2 linked regions of the Anolis sagrei genome follow. The protein of the gene in region 1 purifies or fractionates together with the protein of each later gene. This does not show direct contact. Links are inferred from orthologs where the notes say so. Each region holds a gene or a part of one and is shown on either strand. Other genes may lie near its edges.

The links.
Region 2: the proteins of PSTPIP1 (region 1) and WAS purify together in Homo sapiens (affinity purification with western blotting; 3 studies listed by BioGRID and IntAct, with this or other methods). This does not show direct contact. The link is inferred for Anolis sagrei from reciprocal best matches to the Homo sapiens genes PSTPIP1 and WAS.

Annotation. Positions count from the first base shown.
Region 1 is NC_090029.1:10,958,821-10,970,172, reverse strand, and holds the start of PSTPIP1 (proline-serine-threonine phosphatase-interacting protein 1), read left to right. Parts: upstream 1-5,941; 5' UTR 5,942-6,368; coding exon 6,369-6,401; intron 6,402-11,352. Other genes in the region: RCN2 (reticulocalbin-2), read left to right, coding at 663-815. UniProt on the Homo sapiens protein: Involved in regulation of the actin cytoskeleton. May regulate WAS actin-bundling activity. Bridges the interaction between ABL1 and PTPN18 leading to ABL1 dephosphorylation.
Region 2 is NC_090022.1:194,032,199-194,043,550, forward strand, and holds the start of WAS (actin nucleation-promoting factor WAS), read left to right. Parts: upstream 1-4,103; 5' UTR 4,104-4,377; coding exon 4,378-4,491; intron 4,492-11,166; coding exon 11,167-11,307; intron 11,308-11,352. UniProt on the Homo sapiens protein: Effector protein for Rho-type GTPases that regulates actin filament reorganization via its interaction with the Arp2/3 complex. Important for efficient actin polymerization. Possible regulator of lymphocyte and platelet function.

The sequences.
Region 1 (11,352 bases):
TTGCAGTTGTTGGGATGTATAGTTGACCTACAATCAAAGAGCATTCTGAACTCCACCAACGATGGAATTGAACCAAACTTGGCACACAGAACTCCCATGACAAAAATACTGGAAGGGTTTGGTGGGCATTGACCTTGAGTTTGGGAGTTGTAGTACATCCAGAGGGCACTGTGGACTAAAAAATGATGGATCTGGACCAAACTTGGTACACATACTCAGTATACCCAAATGTGAACACTGGTGGAGTTTGGGGAAAATAGACATTGACATTTGGGAGTTGGAGTTTCTGGGATTTATAGTTCACCTACAGTCAAAGCGCATTCTGAACTCCACTAACGAGAGAATTGGGCCAGACTTCCCACACACAACCCCCATGATGAACAGAAAATACTGTGTTTTCTGATGGTCTTTGGTGACTCCTCTGACACCCCCCTTGTGGACCCCCCCCCCCAGGGTCCTGACCTCAAAGTTGAGAAACACTTTCAGCACTTTGAACCCTCATCTGCTCCTTTTGGGGGGGAGGGGTTGTTTGTTTTTTTGGTCGTGTCAGGAGCGACTTGAGAAACTGCAAGTCGCTTCTGGTGTAAGTGTGGATATTAGGCTAAATTTGCGAAATGACAGCGCATTGACAAGCTACATAACATTAATCTTTCCTTTCCCAGGCCTCCCACCTCATTGAGGAAATGGACCAGGATGGGGACCAAAGACTGACGGAGGTGGAAATCCTTGCAAACCAGGATCTCTTCCTCAACAGCGAGGCCACGGATTACGGCCGGCAGCTGCAGGACGAGCGCTTCTACCACGAAGAACTGTAATTCCCAAGAGACTCTGCATATAACGCAACCATATGAATCGTGTGCGAATGTAAAATATATCGATAGATACGCACACACTGGTTTTCATTCCCGAATGTCTTTGCGCATCGCCCCTCGCCTTTATCATTTCGGGACTCCAAAGCTTGACTCTTGAATGGAAACTGATTTTTGCTTTTTCGGAAACTTACTTGAAAACGCCAAGGTTCGACTTGTGATAGTGCAAACCCATCACCACTAGTTCAGTATTCGATTTGGGGAAGGTGGAAGCCTTGGCTGGGTTTTTCCGTTTGTCGTCGTCCTTCTGCCTCGAGGAGGACCGGGGCTTTTCCTTACTTTTTAAGGTTTTCTGTTTATAATGAACTTTCAGTTTGTGGGTGTTTATACGACCCAGAAATGGTATTTTTGCAGCCTGATGGTTATTTTCGAACCTTTAGCAGGTATATTTTAGGTCAGAACACTACCCGCGACAAAACACTCCAATTAAAACCTTCACAAGTGTCATTTCTGGTGTGAATTTTTCAAAATGTTCTTGAACTTCCAGCTTTCCTTTTTGTTTATGGGACATCAGTAAATACTGTTTAGAAAGGTCTGCAAAACGAAAAGCCCACAAGAACAATCTATCGTTTGATATGTCTATGTATGTATGTGTGATCGTCTGTTTATACCACAAAGACTGTTGCTAGGTGAAGTGGCCCTCTGAGGCCAATGGGTTGGCTGAAGTGGCCTTCTGAGGTCACTGGATCAACTGCTGCTAGGTGAGGTGGCCCTCTGTGAGGCCACTGGATCGGTTGTTGAAAGGTAAAGTAGTCCTCTGTGAGGCCACTGGATTGGCTAGAGTGGCCCTCCGTGAGGTCATTGGCTGTTACTAGGTGAAGTGGCCCTTTTTGAGGCCACTGCATCAGAGTGGCCCTCCGTGAGGTCGCTGGATGGGCTGTTGCTAGGTGAAGTGGCCCTTTTTGAGGCGACTGCATCAGCTAGAGTGGCCCTCTGTGAGGCCACTGGATCAGCTGTTGCTAGGTGAAGTGGTCCTCTGTGAGGCCACTGGATTGGCTAGAGTGGCCCTCTGTGAGGTCGTTGGATTGGCTGTTGCTAAGTGAAGTGGCCCTTTTTGAGGCCACTGCATCAGAGTGGCCCTCCGTGAGGTCGCTGGATGGGCTGTTGCTAGGTGAAGTGGCCCTTTTGGAGGCCACTGCATCAGCTAGTGTGGCCCTCTGAGGTCGCTGGATCGGCTGTTGCTAGGTGAAGTGGCCCTTTTTGAGGCCACTGCATCAGCTAGAGTGGCCCTCCGTGAGGTCATTGGCTGTTACTAGGTGAAGTGGCCCTTTTTGAGGCCACTGCATTAGAGTGGCCCTCCGTGAGGTCGCTGGATGGGCTGTTGCTAGGTGAAGTGGCCCTTTTGGAGGCCACTGCATCAGCTAGTGTGGCCCTCTGAGGTCGCTGGATCGGCTGTTGCTAGGTGAAGTGGCCCTTTTTGAGGCCACTGCATCAGCTAGAGTGGCCCTCCGTGAGGTCATTGGCTGTTACTAGGTGAAGTGGCCCTTTTTGAGGCCACTGCATTAGAGTGGCCCTCCGTGAGGTCGCTGGATGGGCTGTTGCTAGGTGAAGTGGCCCTTTTTGAGGCCACTGCATCAGAGTGGCCCTCCGTGAGGTCGCTGGATGGGCTGTTGCTAGGTGAAGTGGCCCTTTTTGAGGCCACTGCATCAGCTAGAGTGGCCCTCCGTGAGGTCGCTGGATCGGCTGTTGCTAGGTGAAGTGGTCCTCTGTGAGGCCACTGGATCGGCTAGAGTGGCCCTCTGTGAGGTCATTGGCTGTTACTAGGTGAAGTGGCCCTTTTTGAGGCCACTTCATCAGAGTGGCCCTCCATGAGGTCGCTGTATTGGCTGTTGCTAGGTGAAGTGGCCCTTTTTGAGGCCACTGCATCAGCTAGAGTGGCCCTCCGTGAGGTCATTGCTGTTACTAGGTGAAGTGGCCCTTTTTGAGGCCACGGCATCAAAGTGGCCCTCCATGAGGTCGTTGGATCAGCTGTTGCTAGATGAAGTGGGCCCTCTGAAGCCATTGGATCGGCTGTTGCTAGATGGTGGCCCTTTTTGAGGCCACTGCATCAGCTAGAGTGGCCCTCTGTGAGGTCATTGGCTGTTACTAGGTGAAGTGGCCCTTTTTGAGGCCACTGCATCAGAGTGGCCCTCCGTGAGGTCGCTAGATCGGCTGTTGCTAGGTGAAGTGGCCCTTTTTGAGGCCACTGCATCAGCTAGAGTGGCCCTCTGTGAGGCCACTGGATCAGCTGTTGCTAGGTGAAGTGGCCCTTTTTGAGGCCACTGCATTAGAGTGGCCCTCCGTGAGGTCGCTGGATGGGCTGTTGCTAGGTGAAGTGGCCCTTTTGGAGGCCACTGCATCAGCTAGTGTGGCCCTCTGAGGTCGCTGGATCGGCTGTTGCTAGGTGAAGTGGCCCTTTTTGAGGCCACTGCATCAGCTAGAGTGGCCCTCCGTGAGGTCATTGGCTGTTACTAGGTGAAGTGGCCCTTTTTGAGGCCACTGCATTAGAGTGGCCCTCCGTGAGGTCGCTGGATGGGCTGTTGCTAGGTGAAGTGGCCCTTTTTGAGGCCACTGCATCAGAGTGGCCCTCCGTGAGGTCGCTGGATGGGCTGTTGCTAGGTGAAGTGGCCCTTTTTGAGGCCACTGCATCAGCTAGAGTGGCCCTCCGTGAGGTCGCTGGATCGGCTGTTGCTAGGTGAAGTGGTCCTCTGTGAGGCCACTGGATCGGCTAGAGTGGCCCTCTGTGAGGTCATTGGCTGTTACTAGGTGAAGTGGCCCTTTTTGAGGCCACTTCATCAGAGTGGCCCTCCATGAGGTCGCTGTATTGGCTGTTGCTAGGTGAAGTGGCCCTTTTTGAGGCCACTGCATCAGCTAGAGTGGCCCTCCGTGAGGTCATTGCTGTTACTAGGTGAAGTGGCCCTTTTTGAGGCCACGGCATCAAAGTGGCCCTCCATGAGGTCGTTGGATCAGCTGTTGCTAGATGAAGTGGGCCCTCTGAAGCCATTGGATCGGCTGTTGCTAGATGGTGGCCCTTTTTGAGGCCACTGCATCAGCTAGAGTGGCCCTCTGTGAGGTCATTGGCTGTTACTAGGTGAAGTGGCCCTTTTTGAGGCCACTGCATCAGAGTGGCCCTCCGTGAGGTCGCTAGATCGGCTGTTGCTAGGTGAAGTGGCCCTTTTTGAGGCCACTGCATCAGCTAGAGTGGCCCTCTGTGAGGCCACTGGATCAGCTGTTGCTAGGTGAAGTGGCCCTTTTTGAGGCCACTGCATCAGCTAGAATGGCCCACCATGAGGTCATTGGATTGGCTGTTACTAGGTGAAGTGGCCCTTTTTGAGGCCACTGCATCAGCTAGAATGGCCCACCATGAGGTCATTGGATTGGCTGTTACTAGGTGAAGTGGCCCTTTTTGAGGCCACTGCATCAGCTAGAATGGCCCACCATGAGGTCATTGGATTGGCTGTTACTAGGTGAAGTGGCCCTTTTTGAGACCACTGCATCAGCTAGAGTGGCCCTCTGTGAGGCCACTGGATCAGCTGTTGCTAGGTGAAGTGGTCCTCTGTGAGGCCACTGGATTGGCTAGAATGGCCCTCTGTGAGGTCGTTGGATCGGCTGCTGCTAGGTGAAGTGGCCATTTTTGAGGCCACTGCATCAGAGTGACCCTCTGTGAAACCACTGGATTAGCTGTTGCTAGGTGAAGTGGCCCTTTTGGAGGCCACTGCATCAGCTAGTGTGGCCCTCTGTGAGGTTGCTGGATTGGCTGTTGATAAGTAAAGTGGCCCTCTGTGAGGTCGCTGGATCAGCTGTTGCTAGGTGAAGTGGCCCTTTTTGAGGCCACTGCATCAGCTAGAGTGGCCCTCTGTGAGGCCATTGGATCAGCTATTGCTAAGTGAAGTAGCCCTCTGTGAGGCCACTGGATTAGCTGTTGCTATGTGAAGTGGTCCTTTTTGAGGCTACTGGATCAGCTAGAGTGGCCCTCCATGAGGTTACTGGATCAGCTGTTGCTAGGTGAAGTTGCCCTCTGTGATGCCACTGCATCGGCTTGAGTGGCCCTCTGTGAGGCTACTGGTTCAGCTGTTGATAGGTGAAACGGCCCTTTGTGAGGCCACTGGATCGGCTGTTGCTAGGTGGAGTGACCTTCTATGAGGCCACTGGAATGGCTAGTGTGGCCCTCTGAGATCACTGGATCAGCTGTTGCTAGGTGAAGTGGCCCTCTGTGAAGTCACCGGGAAAGAAATACGACATATGTATACGAGGTGAAGGGAGGGAGGAAGAAAGGAAAGAAAAAGGGATGGAAGGAAGAAAAAAGGGGGAGGAAGGAAAGAGAAAGGAGGAAGGAAGGAAGGAAGGAAGGAAGGAAGGAAGGAAGGAAGGAAGGAAGGAAGGAAGGAAGGGAAGAGATAGGAAAGAAAGAAGAGGTATATGAGGGAAACGGAGGAAGGAGAGACAGCAGCACAGAGGCTTGTTGCTCCTCTTCCATCTGTACTAGAATTAAACCCTTTGTCATCTCCCACTCTCAATGCTGTCAGATCCTGGGAGATGTAGTTTTGCAAGGGCTTTCATCTTCTCTGGGATAGAGTGTTAATGCGGCCCCCAAGGACAACTCCCAGGATTTTGTAGCTTTGTGCCACGGCAGTCCAAAGTGGCATCAACCCGCATTAATGTACGTTGAATTGCAGCTTCACTGCTCATCATCACCCGCGGCTTCAAGCGAGCCAAGACATTGGAGGCCGCAGCCTGCTTGGGATCCCATGCTCTGAATGTCAACATTTCTGGCCCGAGGCCTCCCAAAGCAAGGCCTCCATTGTGCTAGTTGTTGTGCGCCTTTGCTCACATTAGTATTCCGGTGGTGCAGTGCGCTCCCTTCTCGTTCCATTCATGTTCAGTTCAATGTCAGCCCGGTGCATTTGCAAAAAATGATGCATTTCCTCTGTTTCGAGGTTGGAAAACCCTTCCGTTCTTGCAGCAATCGCTGAGCCGGCAAGACCGCAGCTCCGCTTCCTGTGTGTACATGATTTGGGCCTAGCAATATATACATACATACATATATATACATATATAAGATAGGCAAAAATATATAAACAACACAAGGACCAAGATTTTGGTCCAAAATCCAAGTTTGGTTTTGTTCCAACCGTTTGTCGTTGTGTGTCTCTCTTTTTCTGTACTTTCTAAAAGGTAACCCACAAAACACAAAAGCCTCTGCTTTGCATACTGACAACTTTTTTTTCTCTTTCGGCTTCCTCATTGCGTTATTATATATATATATTCGTCGCTTGCCAGAAATGAAAAGAAGAGGGGTGGAGCGAAAAGTGGAACGCAAGAGGAAAAGAAGACCTCGCGGGTGAGGCTTTTGGGGTGTCGTCTGCTCCCCCCTTCGGAGACATAAACGTCGCCACAAACTTCCTCCCAGGGAACCGTTTTTGCACTTTGTCAAGAAGAAGAAAATTTTCCTTTTCGGCTTGGAACAAAGTGCCTGTTATTCGGACGCCTTTGGCACCGTTTTGGACTGCCTTCCTCGTCATGGCACACCTGCAGTTTAAGGATGTCTTTTGGGTAAGCGCCCATGCCTTGCCATCGAGAAGAAGACGCAACACTTTTATTATGTCTAATAAGTGCCTGGCACCTGTCGCCACAATTATTTTGGTTGAGTCGCACTCAACATTGAGTGCAATGAACTATTTACTGTATAAACTGGCTACTACTATTATTATTACTACTATTACTATTATTATTTTGGCTCGGTAGAACTGAACATTGAGTACATTCAACTATTTACTATATAATAATAATTTCTTTCAACTTGGTAGAACTGAACATTGAGTGCACTCAGTTATTTACTTTTTTTTTCTCGGCTTGGTAGAACTGAACATTGAGTGCACTCAACTATTGATTATATAATAATAATAATAATAATAATAATTATTATTATTATTATTATTGGCTTGGTAGAACTGAACATTGAGTGCACTCAACTATTGATTATATTATTATTATTATTATTGGCTTGGTAAACTGAACATTGAGTGTACTCAGTTATTTACTATATAATAATTTTTTTCTTGGCTTGGTAGAACTGGAGTGCACTCAACTATTTACTACATAATTATAATAATAATTATTATTATTATTATTTTCGGCTTGGTAGAACTGAACATTCGCTTTGAGTCACCTGAGGGCTGAGAAAAGCAGTATAGTAGTAAATAATTGAGTGCACTCAGTGTTCAGTTCTACCAAGCCAATAATAATAATAATAATTATTATTATTATTATTATTATTATATAGTAAATAGCTGAGTGCACCCCAGTTCTACCAAGCCAAGAAAAAAAATTATTATATAGTAAATAACTGAGTACACTCAATGTTCAGTTCTACCAAGCTGAAAATAATAATAATAATAATAATTATTATTATTATATAGTAAATAGTTTAGTGTACTCAAAGTTCAGTTCTACCAAGCCTATTATTATTATTATTATTATTATTATTATTATTATTATTGGCTTGGTAGAACTGAACATTGAGTGCACTCTACTATTGATTATATAATAATAATAATAATAATAATAATTATTATTATTATTATTATTATTGGCTTGGTAGAACTGAACATTGAGTGCACTCAAATTATTTACTACTATACCGCTTTTCTCAGCCCTCAGGTGACTCAAAGCGAATGTTCAGTTCTACCAAGCTGAAAATAATAATAATAATAATAATAATAATAATAATAATTATTATTATTATTATTATTATATAGTAAATAGTTTAGTGTACTCAAAGTTCAGTTCTACCAAGCCTATTATTATTATTATTATTATTATTATTATTGGCTTGGTAGAACTGAACTTTGAGTACACTAAACTATTTACTATATTATTATTATTATTTTCAGCTTGGTAGAACTGAACATTTGCTTTGAGTCACCTGAGGGCTGAGAAAAGCGGTATATAAATAAAGTAAATAAATAAACAAACATTGAGTGCACTCAACTATTTACTATATTAAAATAATAATAATAATAATTATTATTATTATTATTATTGGCTTGGTAGAACTGAACATTGAGTGCACTCATCTATTTACTATATTATTATTATAATAATTATTATTATCAGCTTGGTAGAACTGAACAATGAGTGCACTCAACTATTTACTATATAATAATAATAATAATAATAATAATTATTATTATTATTATTATTATCGGCTTGGTAGAACCGAGCGTTGAGTACACTCAACTATTTTCTATATAATAATTATAATTTTTTTCGGCTTGGTAGAACTGAACATTGAGTACACTCAACTATTTACTATATAATAATTTCTTTCGACTTGCTAGAACTGAACGCTTAAGCGGCTGAGGGTGAAAAGGAGGGGGCCTGAGGTGGTTAGGAATGGTGGGAGTTGTAGTCCAAAACACCTGGAGGGCCCAAGTTTGCTCATGCCTGGTGTAGATGCACCATCAAAATGCCTGATTCAGACTAACGCCGCTTCCTATTCCAAGACACAATGATATTTCCCTGGGAAAATCTGACATTGGGCTTAATCTGGTGTGAAACGGGTGAATCAGTCGGAGCGTAATGGTTGGGATGATGCATCCGAAGGCAGAAATTCACATTTTTTGCAGCAACTTCAAGCTGGATCCTTCTCTGCTGGGTTCGTCTCCGTGCTGGGAATGGCAAAGGCAATAGTAGGTTTGGCTTGCGGCTCTTTGTAACTTCCAATGAGTGGAATCGTTGGGTTTTTCTTTCAACTTATTATTTTCCTAAAGGAGAACCTGATCTGCTCCTAAGAGAATCTCACTCTTCTTAGGGTATCATTGGAGGGCCTTTTTGGGGTACTTTTTGGGTGCATTTGCACTGCAAAACGAATACAGTTTAATTGCAATGGCTCAATGCGATGGGATCCTGGGAGTTGCAGTTCGGCAGGGTCTTGGCGTGTTATATTTCCTCTGTTCCTTCTGCGGTTAATTGAGAACTTCTCTTTTTCCAACCAAAGCCCTTCCAGGAACAAAGGCAGTGGTTTGTCTCACAGCTGGTAGTGCTTTCCACCCAATTTGGACTGAATGCAATGCTCTTATTTCAAAAGTGGCGTCAAACTGCATTAATTCTATAATACAGATGCAGCCTGCACTAGGCTTGGCTGATCCAAAAAAATGGTTCAAAACTCGTTTCGGATGTAGGGGCGCTGGTGGTTCGATTCTAAAGTCAATTCTGATTTTCACAGAAAAAAATATGTTCAAAGCTTTTCGAAACTTCCAAGACTTTCGAATCCTTTCATTAATAGTTTGAAAGTGTTATTTCCTGTTTCATTAGGTGGTCTTTACTTTGAAAGTAGTTGTTTTACTCCAGAAGCAGGGAAAAGCAAGCAGAGGAAATTCTTTCCTTTTCTGGTTTAAAACTGCTTCTCTGGCTGCAAAACTGGCTTCTCTGGCTTGATCCAAGGCCAGGAAATTCTTTCCTTTTCTGGTTTAAAACTGGCTTCTCTGTTTTTAAAACTGGCTTCTCTGGCTTTAAAACTGGCTTCTCTGGCTTGAGCTGAGGCCAGGAAATTCCTTCCTTCTCTGGTTTAAACCTGGCTTCTCTGGCTTTAAAACTGGCTTCTCTGGCTTGAGCCGAGGCCAGGAAATTCTTTCCTTTTCTGGTTTAAAACTGGCTTCTCTGACTTGAGCCGAGGCCAGGAAATTTTTTCCTTTTCTTGTTTAAAACTGGCTTCTCTGACTTGAGCTGAGACCAGGAAATTCTTTCCTTTTCTGGTTTAAAACTGGCTTCTCTGGCTTTAAAACTGCCTTCTCTAGCTTGAGCCGAGGCCAGGAAATTCTTTCCTTTTCTGGTTTAAAACTGGCTTCTCTGACTTGAGCTGAGACCAGGAAATTCTTTCCTTTTTTGGTTTAAAACTGGCTTCTCTGGCTTTAAAGCTGGCTTTTCTGGCTTGAGCCAAGGCCAGGAAGTTCCTTCCTTTCCCAATTTAAAACTGCCTTCTCTGGCTTTAAAACTGGCTTCTCTGGCTTGAGCTGAGGCCAGGAAATTCCTTCCTTTTCCTGTTTAAAACTGGCTTCTCTGGCTTTAAAACTGGCTTCTCTGGCTTTAAAACTGGTATCTCTGGCTTGAGCTGAGGCCAGGGACCAGAAGTGGAGAAAAGCTGAATAATTTCTGACTCACTTCAGGAATTGTAACAAAAATGGTGGGAAAAGGATCGGAAGGGCAAAGGGACTTCTGGTTTTCTTAAAAACTTCAAAATCGCTCTGAAAAGATTATTTTTCCAATTTTATTCCGAATTATGAATATTCCGACTGTACCTAACCATGCCTGGCCCGCACCACTCTGAGTTTAGTAAGGCAGCAGGACTAAAAACCTCGAGCTTCTTTATCCCCACTTTAGCTTGCAAACCATCCTATACTGGTTAAATAAGCACAAACCATTGTGATCAGTGTTCGTTCATTTCCAAACATTCCCTTCTTAAGTTAAGTAGCATCGCATTGATAGGAGAGCATCATAGGCCTTCGATACGTTTCTAGGTGTTTCCATGCTCAATTTTTATGACTGCGAGAGCTGTTCAGTAGTGGAACTCTCTGCTCTGGAGTGTGGTGGAGGCTCCTTCTTAGGAGGCTTTTAAGCAGAGGATGGGTGGCCATCTGTCGGGAGCGGGGAGGGCTTTGAATGCAATTTTCCTATTGGAGCTCAGCCTGTGATTGTGTTCCAGGATCAGGGTGCTTTGGATGTGGGGAATGATGTCAATGAGTTGCAAGATGAGTTTCAAAATGGTAGCGGTTTGGCCAGTGATGTTGATGCAGAGAATGACCAGGAGATCCCTGTGCAAAGTGTAGTTTCCCATGATAATGTCCCTGAGGGGTGTGGGGATGATAGTGTGTTTTCTGGATTGTTACCGAAGAGTTCCCATGATAGGGAACATGAAAATAGCTCAGCACCTGGCCCAGCTGCAGAAATTAATGAGCAAATAGATAATGAGCAAATAGATAGATGAGAGGAGATCAGTCAAAACAGGAGAGCCGAACAGTGGCTTCGGTGTTCTGCCAGGCTTTGAGAGAAAAAGATAAGAACTTCTCAGTTGAAGCGAAACCAATTTTTGAGCGCTAGAGGCATAGCGTAATGAGGAGATAAAAGTCCCAAGTACAGGATATGGGATTCGTTTGGAATCAAGTCAAGATCTCGTCTTTGTTTCATGGAAGCTTTGCTTGGAAAATTCATGTTTTAAGTGCCTTTGTTTCATGGTTTTGATTCTTGGATTCTATGCTTTTATATTCATGCCTTGGGTTCATGATTTCTTGCATTTAATGTCCCTGAGGGGTGTGGGGATGATGATGAAAATAGCTCGGCACCTGGCCCAGCTGAAGAAGTTAATGAGCAAATAGATAGACGGAAGCAGATCAGTCCAAACAGGAGAGCCGAACAGTGGCTTCGGCGTTCTGCCAGGCTCCGAGAGAAAAAGATAAGAAATTCTCAGCTAAAGCGAAACCAATTTCTGAGCGCTAGAGACATAGCT
Region 2 (11,352 bases), on another chromosome or scaffold:
AGCTGATAAAGGGAGCTCATTCGCGCTCTCCCTAGATTCGAACCTACAACCTGTCAGTCTTCAGTCCTGCCGGCACAATGGTTTAACCCACTGCGCCATCAGGGGCTCCAGCAGCTTTGCTAAGTGTATTATATATGTATATTTGAAATGGCAAAAATATGAAGTTCTTTGGAACTCCAGAAATACATTGCATTTACATTTCTGCAATGGTTGCATCCTTCCCTAAAACTGTCAGTAGTCTGAATCGGATGGAAATCCTTGTTCACGTAATATGGTCCACCTTTTTACATTGGGACATATGCTGTGTTGTTCCTGCTCAATTCATCTGTTGTAGTAGCCCATCATGATGATGAGACAGTTAAATTGTTACATTGCATTATGATTGCTTTTCCAGTACTTTCTGTTGTTGTATAAAGGGGTGGGCAAATCCTCCAGATTGATAATAAAAGGGGACAAAACTTCAGCATGTCCTGTCAAAACACCTCTTCAAATACGGTAATTTAAAAATAATTGGAAACAGTTACCTTTGACAATAATATTTTGCTTTTGTTTTTGAAATGCTGGAAAAGTTAATTTGGAAAGTGATTTGTTTTGTTAAGTCATTACAGTGGCTAAAAAGTAACCCATTGCAATCACTCATCATTATATTATTCTATAATGTTGATGGAAAATTGCATTTCCTACTTTTCTCATTTCATTTCCAGTATTTTTTGTTACTTTATAAGGGGGAGGCGGCGAAACTCTCCTCACCAATAAGAGAGAAGCATAAAACTTCAAACCGTCCTGTCAAAATGCCTCTTGAAATGCGTTAACTTGAAAATAATTAGAAACTGTTACTTTTTACAACAATATTTTGCTTTTAGGGTTAAAACGTAATTTTGTTATATTCTTGATACATTGAGACAACTGATTATATTTAACAACCTTGCTTAATTGGTTACTTTCAGCTTTTGTGACAAATGTCTGGGGTGGCTCCTGTCTGTGTGGCCGACCCATCCAGGTTTACATTTCTCTTCATTTTCACAGGGTGTTTGTGTCTCACTACAATTCCTCTTCCTCACATGGTGTTTGGGTGACTGCAGGTTGCCATTACCCTTTTCCATTCTCTCTCTGGAAACCTCAGGATTTCTTCCCATAGAGACTTAACAGCTCTTGATTCTGGTTGGGGTCGGAGCAGGTTTCATGTTTAAGGGAGGAGGGAATCAGATTCAAAATGTGAAAATGGATGCAAGGACACGGTATTTGTTTAATTTTGGAATGCAATAAAACTGTTGACTTTCAGGAGAAACAATCATGCCATGGATAATGTCTTTTGTTTGTTTTTAATGCTTATAATACCATCAATCAGATGTATAGGAAAACAATATAATGTTGCTACAGCTCTTTTAATTACATATATGGCTATATGCTCAATTGTATGTAAATACTAGTGTATACAGTGTTCCCTCGCTATTTCGTAGTTTGCTTATCGCAGACTCGCTGTTTCGCGGGTTTTTCTTCAGTCCTCCCTCTTTTCCTCCAGCCTGTCTTCATTCCTTTTACTGTCTACATTGAGACCTGTCTCCATTCCTTTTAAGTTGAGACCTGTCTCCATATCTTTTACTTGCCCTTTCCATTCATTTCATTGGTGGCACTCTGACTCTGGCCCCTCCGCTTCTGCCTCTTTGCTGCTGCTGCTTCCTCCTCGTCCTCCTTCTCAAGCCCGACCCACAAGTGCTACAGCAAGCGGCCCATCAAGGCCACCACATCCTCCGGCCCCGGGTGAGCGCCAGGAAGGGAGGGAGGGAGGGAGAGACTCCAGTGGGGCCATGTTTCAAGAAGGAAGATGATTAGACACGCAATGAGGAAGCACACTGCACATGCTCAGGAAACCTTGGCACCACTTGAACTGAGGGAGAGAGGAGTGGGCGGAGTGTCCCTACTTTGCGGATTTTCACTTATTGCGGGTGGTCCTGGAATGTAACACTAGCAGTAAGTGAGGGAACACTGTATACCTGATGTTGCTTGAGCGTCGTTGGGACCACTGCTTACCTTCTTTCTCCCTTCTCCAGCTCTGATAAGGCCTTCTTTGCAACTTCTTCATGGCAACACTCAAGCAGTGGTAGGCAGGCTACCATTGTGCAGGCTACCATTTCCTTCCTCCCCCTCATACACATGTCAACTTCCTCTCTCAGAGACATCACAGGGGATCACCTAACCTAGCAACAGCCAGTCCAGTGAAATCATAGAGGGCCATTTCACCTAGCAACAGTCTTTGTTTTACAAGCATACATACTTCGACATGTGCGTGTGTGATAAGTGTTTGCTGCAATGTTTGCCAGAAAAACAGAAGGTGGGGGGAATGCTTCCTTGCATTGTGTCTTTTTATCCCAACCAATGAACACATTTAGTCTTCATTGGCTCTGTGTCTTATATGAGAGAGAAAGTTCTGTTTGTGAAAGAGAAAGTGTTCTTCACCATTTTTCCTTCCTAAGCCCATAGCCAGAAATACTGAGTTGGGCGTGATCCAAATATAATCAAGGGACCAAATTAAAAGTTAGTGAGATGCAATATTAGCAAATAAATTCATTCCTAAATAGGCTCACCATCCTCCTTGATTCATAGAGTTGGAAGAGACCATGTGGGCCATCCAGTCCAACCCCCCTGCCAAGAAGCAGGAAATTGCATTCAAAGCGCCCCTGAAAGTCATCCAGCATCTGTGTAAAAGCCTCCAAAGAAGGAGCCTCCAGCACACTCTGGAGCAGAGAGTTCCACTGATGAACAGATCTCACAGTTAGGAAGTTCTTCCTCATATTCAGGTGGAATCTCCTTTCCTGTAGTTTGAAGCCATTATTCTGTGGCCTAGTCTCCCGGGCAGCAGAAAACAAGCCTGCTCCTTCCTCTCTGTGAATTCCCTTCACATATTTTTACATGGCCCTCATCATGTCTCCTCTCAGCCTTCTCTTCTGCGGGCTAAATATTCTCCTGCATCTATTAAATAGGTACCTGGGCAGAACATACAAGCATGGGCATGCCAGTCTGATGAGGCCATGTACCAGTTCATTTCTAATCCAGGAAAGAATCCCAGAAGTATGTCTCTACTGCTAGTTTTCTATCTCAGTCTCATAGGCATGGACTCAATTTTACAACTTCCCACCTAATTAAACCTATTTTTGTGTTTGGGACACTTGCCTGTGCTGTTTTAAACACCAAAATCTCATTAAACCTCCAGAGTGCAAACAGCATAGTTTCAGGTTTTTTCTTAGGATTTTTGCATTGATTTTTTAATATCTTTTATGTGTGGACTTTGGCAAATGCATTTTTAAAAATAAAGAACCTTCCTTTTTCTCCCCCCTCTTTCCAAGATGGGAGGTGGCTCATCATAAAAACGTTAAGAAGTAACGACATACAAAAAGTCTGCCAGGAAGTTCATTCTAATTGAATTCAGCCAGTTAAGAATAATTCTTTTTGGGCAATGGCAGGACCAGATTCAAGAGCAGGAGAAAGTATTTTTTAATCCATAACACCAAGAATAGTCCACATCTTTGATGCTCACCTCATGTTTCTGCCCCAACTTTCATTCAAGATAACTTTGAATGAAAGAAAACAGGGCAAATAGGATTTGAAATCTGATCCTCAAAGCAACATTTGGAAGAGGATATATGTTAAAAGGCTGTGATCAAAGCTTTAGTGCTAGAAAAGCAGAGTGGTATTCTGGGCAACTACCACAAGGTTTTTGTGGTTGAATGTTCCCTTAACATTTGCTGTTTGTCATGCAACTAACACACACACTGCCATTCCATTGTAACTATTAGATGCAATTAGATGCAAATAGTTACCATTACCATTAGATGCAATGCTAATCCTTTCCATTGCATCTAATGAAGCAAACTTGAGTCCACAAAAGCTGGTTCTAGTATTTTTTTCTCTCTCTCAGTCTCAAAGATGCAACATGATACTTGGAAACTTTTGTATTCCCCTGCCAAGTCCAAGGTGGGTAGAAATCTTTAGTGCTGAGTTCAGAATAAACCCTGCCCTTAAAATATGTTTTTGGGAACTGAACAACAGTCATACCTATTTTCACAAGCTTCAAAAATATATGTACTGAATCTGAGGTGCCATAGGAGTGAACTCTGAGCTAATTGTTGTTTCTCAGAGCAGAATCATTTGTTTGAGGTGTCTCCTTCATTCTGGCCCACTCTCGGCCTGTTGGTAACTCAGCCATGCTCAGGAAGGACTTACTCCAGGACTCTCATGAAGCAAGATGGGGAGTCTCTTTCTCTCTTGTCTCTGTGGCCTGGTGGTTTCCGAACTTCCTGTTGTAAAGAGAAAAGGCCTTGCAAGACGGAAGTTCGCTCTGGGTGAGATCATCCAGAGTCGTCTTTAACGGGGCCCAAGATGAGCCGGAGGCCCAAACCAGGAGCCAGGACACAGCAGGAAAATACACCATCTAACCTGCTCCAGGACCATGAGAACCAACAAGTGTTTGAACTCCTGGGCAGGAAATGCACGGTAATTCTGGCTTTGTTCTCGGATAGAAAAACTGCAAACAGAATTCAGAAATCTGTCTGGGGCAGAGGGAGGAGCAGGGGGAGGTGGTCGACTGGATTTCTTGGACAAATTTGGGGGATCTAAGTGATTCGAGCATTCAGTCTGGCACAGGAGTAGAAGGACTCATGGTTATGGGCAAGTACCTTCCTTAGAGCAGTGGTTCTCAATCTTTCGAATGCCATGACCCCTTAATACAGTTCCTCATGTTGTGGTGACCCCCAACCATAAAATTATTTTCATTGCATTGTAATGGAAATATCTGATATGCAGAATGTATTTTCATTCACTGCACCAAATTTGGCACAAATACTCGATATGCCCAAATTTGAATATTGGTGGGGTTGGAGGGGGGATTGATTTTGTTATTTGGGAGTTGTGGTTGCTGGATTTTATAGTTAACCTATAATCAAAGAGCATTCTGAACACCAACTATGGAATCGAACCAGACTTGGCACACAGAACTCCCATGATCCCATGACCAACAGAAAATACTGGAAGGGTTTGTCGACATTGATCTTGAGTTTGGGAGTTGTAGTTCACCTACATCCAGAGGGCACTGTGTATTCAAACAGGTGGATCTGGACCAAACTAGGCACAAATACTCGATATGCCCAAATGTGAACACTGGTGGAGTTTGGGGAAAATAGATCTTGACATTTGGGAGTTGTAGTTGCTGGAATTCACCTACAACTTCCAAATGTCAAGGTTCGCCTACATTCAAAGAGCATTCAGAATTCCACCAATTATAGAACTGGGCCAAACTTTCCACACAGAACCCCCATTGCCAACAAAAAATGCTGTGTTTTCTGATGGTCTTTGGCGATCCCTTTGAAACCTCCCTCATGACCCTCCCAGGGTTCCCGACCCCCAGGTTGAGAAACACTGCCTTAGAGCCTGACTTTCCTGTCACTGTCAATCAGAGGATAAACAAGGAGATGTTAGAAAATGTGTTTGATCAGTAAGGGGGGGGGGGGGAGTTCAAATGCCGAGAGATACGATAGAATTTAACTCCCCAAAATGCATCAAGATCGTTGATCTTTTTGGAGGATCCTCTATGCAAAAAATAATGTTGCATCTTAACAAACCTGACAAGCAACTGTTTATTGGCTGCTAAAAAATTAGAAGAGGAAAATGGTAAAAGAAGTGGCACTGATGCTTTGTAAATTCATAAACCAGCACTTGATGGGAAATGGATCAAATTGAAAAATCTATAGGGAACAATGACAATCAGCAGAGTCCAGACTTCATTGTTTTGCCTAGAATATGGCTTGCTAAAATAATAGATGATTTTGTAAAATACAGTTTTGTTGTTTCAAGCAATAGTTAAGTTCTGACATTTGTTTGCCTGGGCACATGATCTATTCAGCTCCTGCAAAATACTTTCTCCTCAAATGCATGGAGGCCATGTTCACCCAGCTTAAAAAAATTGGAACGTGTTGGGTGGCTGGGGACTTGTGGTAAGGATTAATGTGGCCTTTCGTAGGCACAGTCTCTCCCACGAATAGGTCTTCCCCCACCATTTCTCATCTGCAGACAACCCCTGCCTTTCTTTCTTGTTCAGATATCTCAGGTTCCTTCCACACAGCTGAATAGAACCCCACATTATCTGCTTTGAACTGGAATTTATGGCAGGGTGGACTCAGATAACCCAGTTCCAAACAGATATTGTGGGATTTTCTGCCTTGATATTCTGGATTATATGGCTGTGTGGAAGGGCCCTCAGATAACCCAGCTCAAACCAGATATTGTGGGATTTTTCTGGGTTATATGGCTGTGTCGAAAGGCCCTCAGCCTCTACATTTCTCTAATCTGGTGCCTTCAAGATGTGTGATTTCCTATCATGCCAACATGCTGGTAGCAAATAAAGGGATTTATTGACCAGTGCCTTTAGTGAGCAACTGGCTGGAGGAGACATTTCCATATTTAAGGTACTCACTGTCTTGCAATAGTTTGGAAATAAAATTAAAGCCAATCCACTGGGCAAGAAGCCAAGTACATCTTCACAAGAATGAAGGTTTTTGTTATGTTTTGTTGGTCTTCGCATTTTTACTTCATCTTCCATGAATAGAAGTGACCGGAGAAGTTCGACAGTGAAACAACAACGATGCAGAAGGAAAGAATTCTAGAGCTGTCTGTTGTTTCTGTAAACTGCCTTGTCTTCAGGAAATGGAGAGAGAAAAACCACTTCCTCAGTGTGGTGGTGGTGGATCCGGCAATGATGACATATAGCGGGTCTAGAAGTGGGAGAGAGGGCGAGTCATTACCATCAAAATAGGCCCTTTCAGAGTTCAGAAATACACAAGGGTAATATCCTTTAGTAGAAAAAATGTATGCAGTCTATTCTTGTTCGATAATGGTGTACACTTTATTTTGAGACCATGCCTACTTGTAAACCAGTTCCACCATCAAGACGTTGAAGATGGTAGTTTCTGAGCGGGTTAATAGCTATTTAGAGGTTGTTAGCCTACTGAGTGGTTAAATCTTCTACAGCATGCCCATATTTTAAAGAACACTGTTCTTTTTTCATTGCAAAAAAAAAAATCTAAAAATATCAACCGTTTCCAAAATATCATGTAAAATATATATAATCTCTGCTCCAAATCGTAAGTTCATATAATGCACTCACTTATTTGAATCTGTTTAAAATTAAGTACAATTTTCTTGAGTGGGGATTGTTAACTGCCATCTGATTGACTTTGACGTATGGTGACCATGTACTGTATTTCACCGCATAATAATTGCATTTCCCTTCACAAAGAGGGCATGCAATTATGTGGTGACACATTAGGCCTACTGGGTTTCCCGTGGTCGGCAGCCAAAGAGGTCTCCTAGCTCTTCGCCATCACCTGCCTGTGAGTTTGCCCCTCAAATCTTTGGGGGCTGCTGTAAGGGGCAAGCGCAAGGACAGGGGTGCAACCAGTATGCGAGGAATCCTTAAATCCCCAAATTATTTTGGAAAATGGCATTTATAACCTTTTGGGAAAACACCTTTTGGAGAGCATTACTTTTAGAAAAGCATGACCTTTCAGAGAAGAGTATTTTGTACAACAGGCCAACATAACATTTCAATTTTTCCAAAAAGTAACAAAAACTACTACTGTACTTTTGTTTACATCTAAATGGAGGGAAAGAACAATGTTACTTTGTAAAACTGCAACTAGAATCCTAATGATCTTATAGGGTCTAGGTTTGTAACTTTTAACTACTATAAATATTTTTGAAGTTACCCGTCATCTTGTGAACTTGTTCGGTATCGCTCTGTAGGGTGACCAGATGCAAAAGAGGACCGTATATGTACAGAATTTTGGCAAGCATAGGTTTCTTCATAATGAAGGCAAATATCTTTCCTATGTTCTGGTCTTTCCAAATGGTAATTAAAGGCATAGGAGCCTTCCTGTCTGCTCCATTTAATTACTAGCCTCCACCCAGTTTTCAACACCCAAGACCTCAACATTTTGGCTTTTCTTTCATGATAGGCTTTTCAGGTCAGAAAACGGGGAAGAGTCCAGGGGCTTTTCACACAATGTAATTATGGCACTATTGCTCCACTTGAACTGCAATGGCAATATCCTATGGAATTTTGTGATTGACAATTGAGGGAAGGATTTTTAAAATCTGTAGCCTGGAAGCTTGCCAAGCGCTTCTCACTAAACTACAAATCCAAGGATTCCATAGGAGGTTGACACAGTAATTAAATAATAATAATAATAATAATAATAATAATAATAATAATAATATCAACTTTATTTATATTCTGCCCTTCTCACCCCGAAGGGGACTCAGGGTGGATCACAGTACACATACACAGCAAACATTCTATGCCATTTTGTATAGACAATACAGAAGGAGGTGTGTTGGTCCAGCTTTTGGTGCCATGCTTTCAATGTCCAGCTTTTGGTGCCATGGAAGGTTGGGCTTGAATCCAGATACAGGGGGTGCTGTCGCTCCATCCTCTATGACAAAGAGCCACTTCCTCCTTCCTTTTGCTCGCCCAGCATTTTCTGATCTTCTTTCTTTATGGCATTGTGAAACACCTTCCCCGCTTTTAGCGATACCTAATTTCTCTAATTACCTGGCTATTCCGATGCGCCTTTCCAGAATAGGAATCTCCAATAACAAGTCCCAGAAGCACTTAAGTAGAACTAAGATTGCTGCACACTGCACACTGCACTTGCCCTACAATCCTCACATACCACCTATCACATCAGCACTTTTAATCCTGTACCCCTTACTCTGGCCTGGCCCAGTTTTCATAGTGTCTTGATGTATTGTTTATTGCATGTCGTTAATACTGCTTTAACTGTTTTTAATTTTGCTTTAGGTGTTGTATTGTTGTGTTGTGTTTTGAGGCCTTGGCCTTTGTAAGCCGCATCGAGTCCTTCGGGAGATGCTAGCAGGGTACAAATAAAGTTAATAATAATAAATAATAATAATAATTACAGGTAAAGCTGTTTTTGAACTGCTTAGGTCAATAGTAAGCTGGTCTGACAGTCAGCAGCTCACACTGACCCAGGGCTTCGAACTTGCAACCTTTCGGTTGATAGATCTTATAATTGCTGGTGACTTACCAGCTGTGCTAAACCACTGGCCCACAGTGGTATAACTGTGCAGCGTGGAAGGATTCCCAGAGCAGCAGATCATCTCTATAGAGTGATGATTCTATGGGACATTATTAGGAAAGGTATGAAACAGAGACTCTACTTGTACCCTGACAGTCAAGATAGTCACACTGGGCTTCATTTTAACCTCTAATGCCATCCCTAAAGTAGTCTTAAAAATAGAAAGCACCTAAAAACAAAAACTTTAGCTAGTCAGAATACCCCTAAGGTTGTGTTTTGTGGACTTCAGAAATTAGTCTATGTTCCAGCTATATATGTTAATCTTCTTTGGCATATTGCTTCAAGCAGCTCAGTTTTCTACAACATAAATGTGGCATGTTTAATTCTCATCCAGACTTCTCATTCTTCAACATTTGCTCTTCTCTAGTTCTCATAATAAGAGCAAGAAATCTTAGGGTGAGACCACTGCCTTGAAAAATGGTGCTTGTGATGTGTATATATGCCTTCCTCATTTGGTGGTCTTTGTGGTTTTTTAAATTTTATTTTGAGGGTGCAGGATTTGCATCTGTAGCTGATGTATAATAATATTACCAGTGATGTCTCCTGGAAAATAATCCTTGTAATATTTTTTTAACAATCATCCTTGCAATATTTATTATTGCACATTATTGCTCAGCTTTAAGTTCTATCATCGGAGTATTCCCCCCTCTCCCGTGGGAAAGCCTGCTTTCACAACCCTCCCCCCCATAACAAGCTCTCCTCTGCAAATTACCTACTTCCTTCTCTTATCTCGCCCGAGTTTTAATTAACTAGTTTTAATTCTGTTTGTCTTTTAATCATTACATGTAACCCACCCATTGTTATTGTGCTTGTGCTTATTGTAATTTTTATATTGTATGCATATGTTTTATGTTAATATGATGTTATTGTAATCTCATTAGCGTCTCATAGGTAGAATCAATCCAATCGGGCGGCAGCCAGATTACTAACCGGGGCGACATACAGGGAGCATACCACCCCCCTGTTGTGCCAGCTCCTCTGGCTGCCAGTCCATCTCCGAGCCCAATTCAAAGTGCTGGTTTTGACCTATAAAGCTCTATACGGTTCTGGCCCAGCTTACTTGTCGGAACACATCCAGCCCTACGTCCCATCTCGTAATCTAAGACCATCCGGGGAGGCCCTGCTCTTGCTCCCGTCAATTGCGCAAATGCGTCTGGCAGGGATGAGAGACAGGGCCTTCTCAGCGGTGGCCCCTTGCCTATGGAACACACTCCCAAATGAGGTAAGATCTGCTTCCCCCCTCTTTCAGAAAGAAATTAAAATAATGGCTTTGGGACCAGGCCTTTGGACAGTAGATGTTTGTAGAGTTTAAAGGACATGGATTAGAATGACAATACTAGTGTATTGAATATAGGAACATGGAACAACGGATTATGAGATTGGATCTTGATTCTATCTATGAGACACTAATGAGATGTTATAGTTATGTTTAACTGATTGTTTATCATATCATTGTTTTTAACTGTTTTTTAACTCTTTTTATGATGTTGAGCATTTAATTTTGCTATTGTTAACCGCTTTGAGTCGCCCAAGGGCTGAGAAAAGCAGTATATAAATGAAGTAAATAAATAATGAATAAATAATTGTTCACGTTTTCGGTTTGTGTTTTGGTTTTTTCTTTATTGTAATTGTTATTTGGGCCTGGCCTCATGTAAGCCTCTCTGAGTCCCCATCGGGGAGATAGTGGCAGGGTATAAATAAATATTATTATTATTATTATTATTATTATTATTATTATTATTCATCTTAAAATCTCAGGTTTTGGAAAACTCAAAGTCTGGCATTTCCCAGAGGGCATAGCCCTGGTTGGTGGATACTCTAAGTAGAGGAGGAATCATGGTGGAAGTGACACTGAGGTCGAGGATGAAGAGGAAGGAAATGTTGAGCGTTTTGTTGTGATTGGCGGAGTTACAAGAGTTGACACAATGCCGAGGATGAAATCATGCAGTTCCTCCTCTTTCACTTAATATCTTTGGCCCAGCTAGGCCATTCATTTACACTTGTTGTTTCTTGACAGGCCATGGTCACAACAGTGGCCCAGCTTTTCCTGGCTTTGCCACAAGGCAGCAGAAACTGGTCCAAGCAGGGCTCGGGTGCCCTGTGCTTCGTGAAGGATAACCCTAGGCGTTCCTACTTCATCCGTTTCTACGATCTCAAGGTACCACTTCCCAGACTCCACTATGACCTTTCCTTTCTATTACCC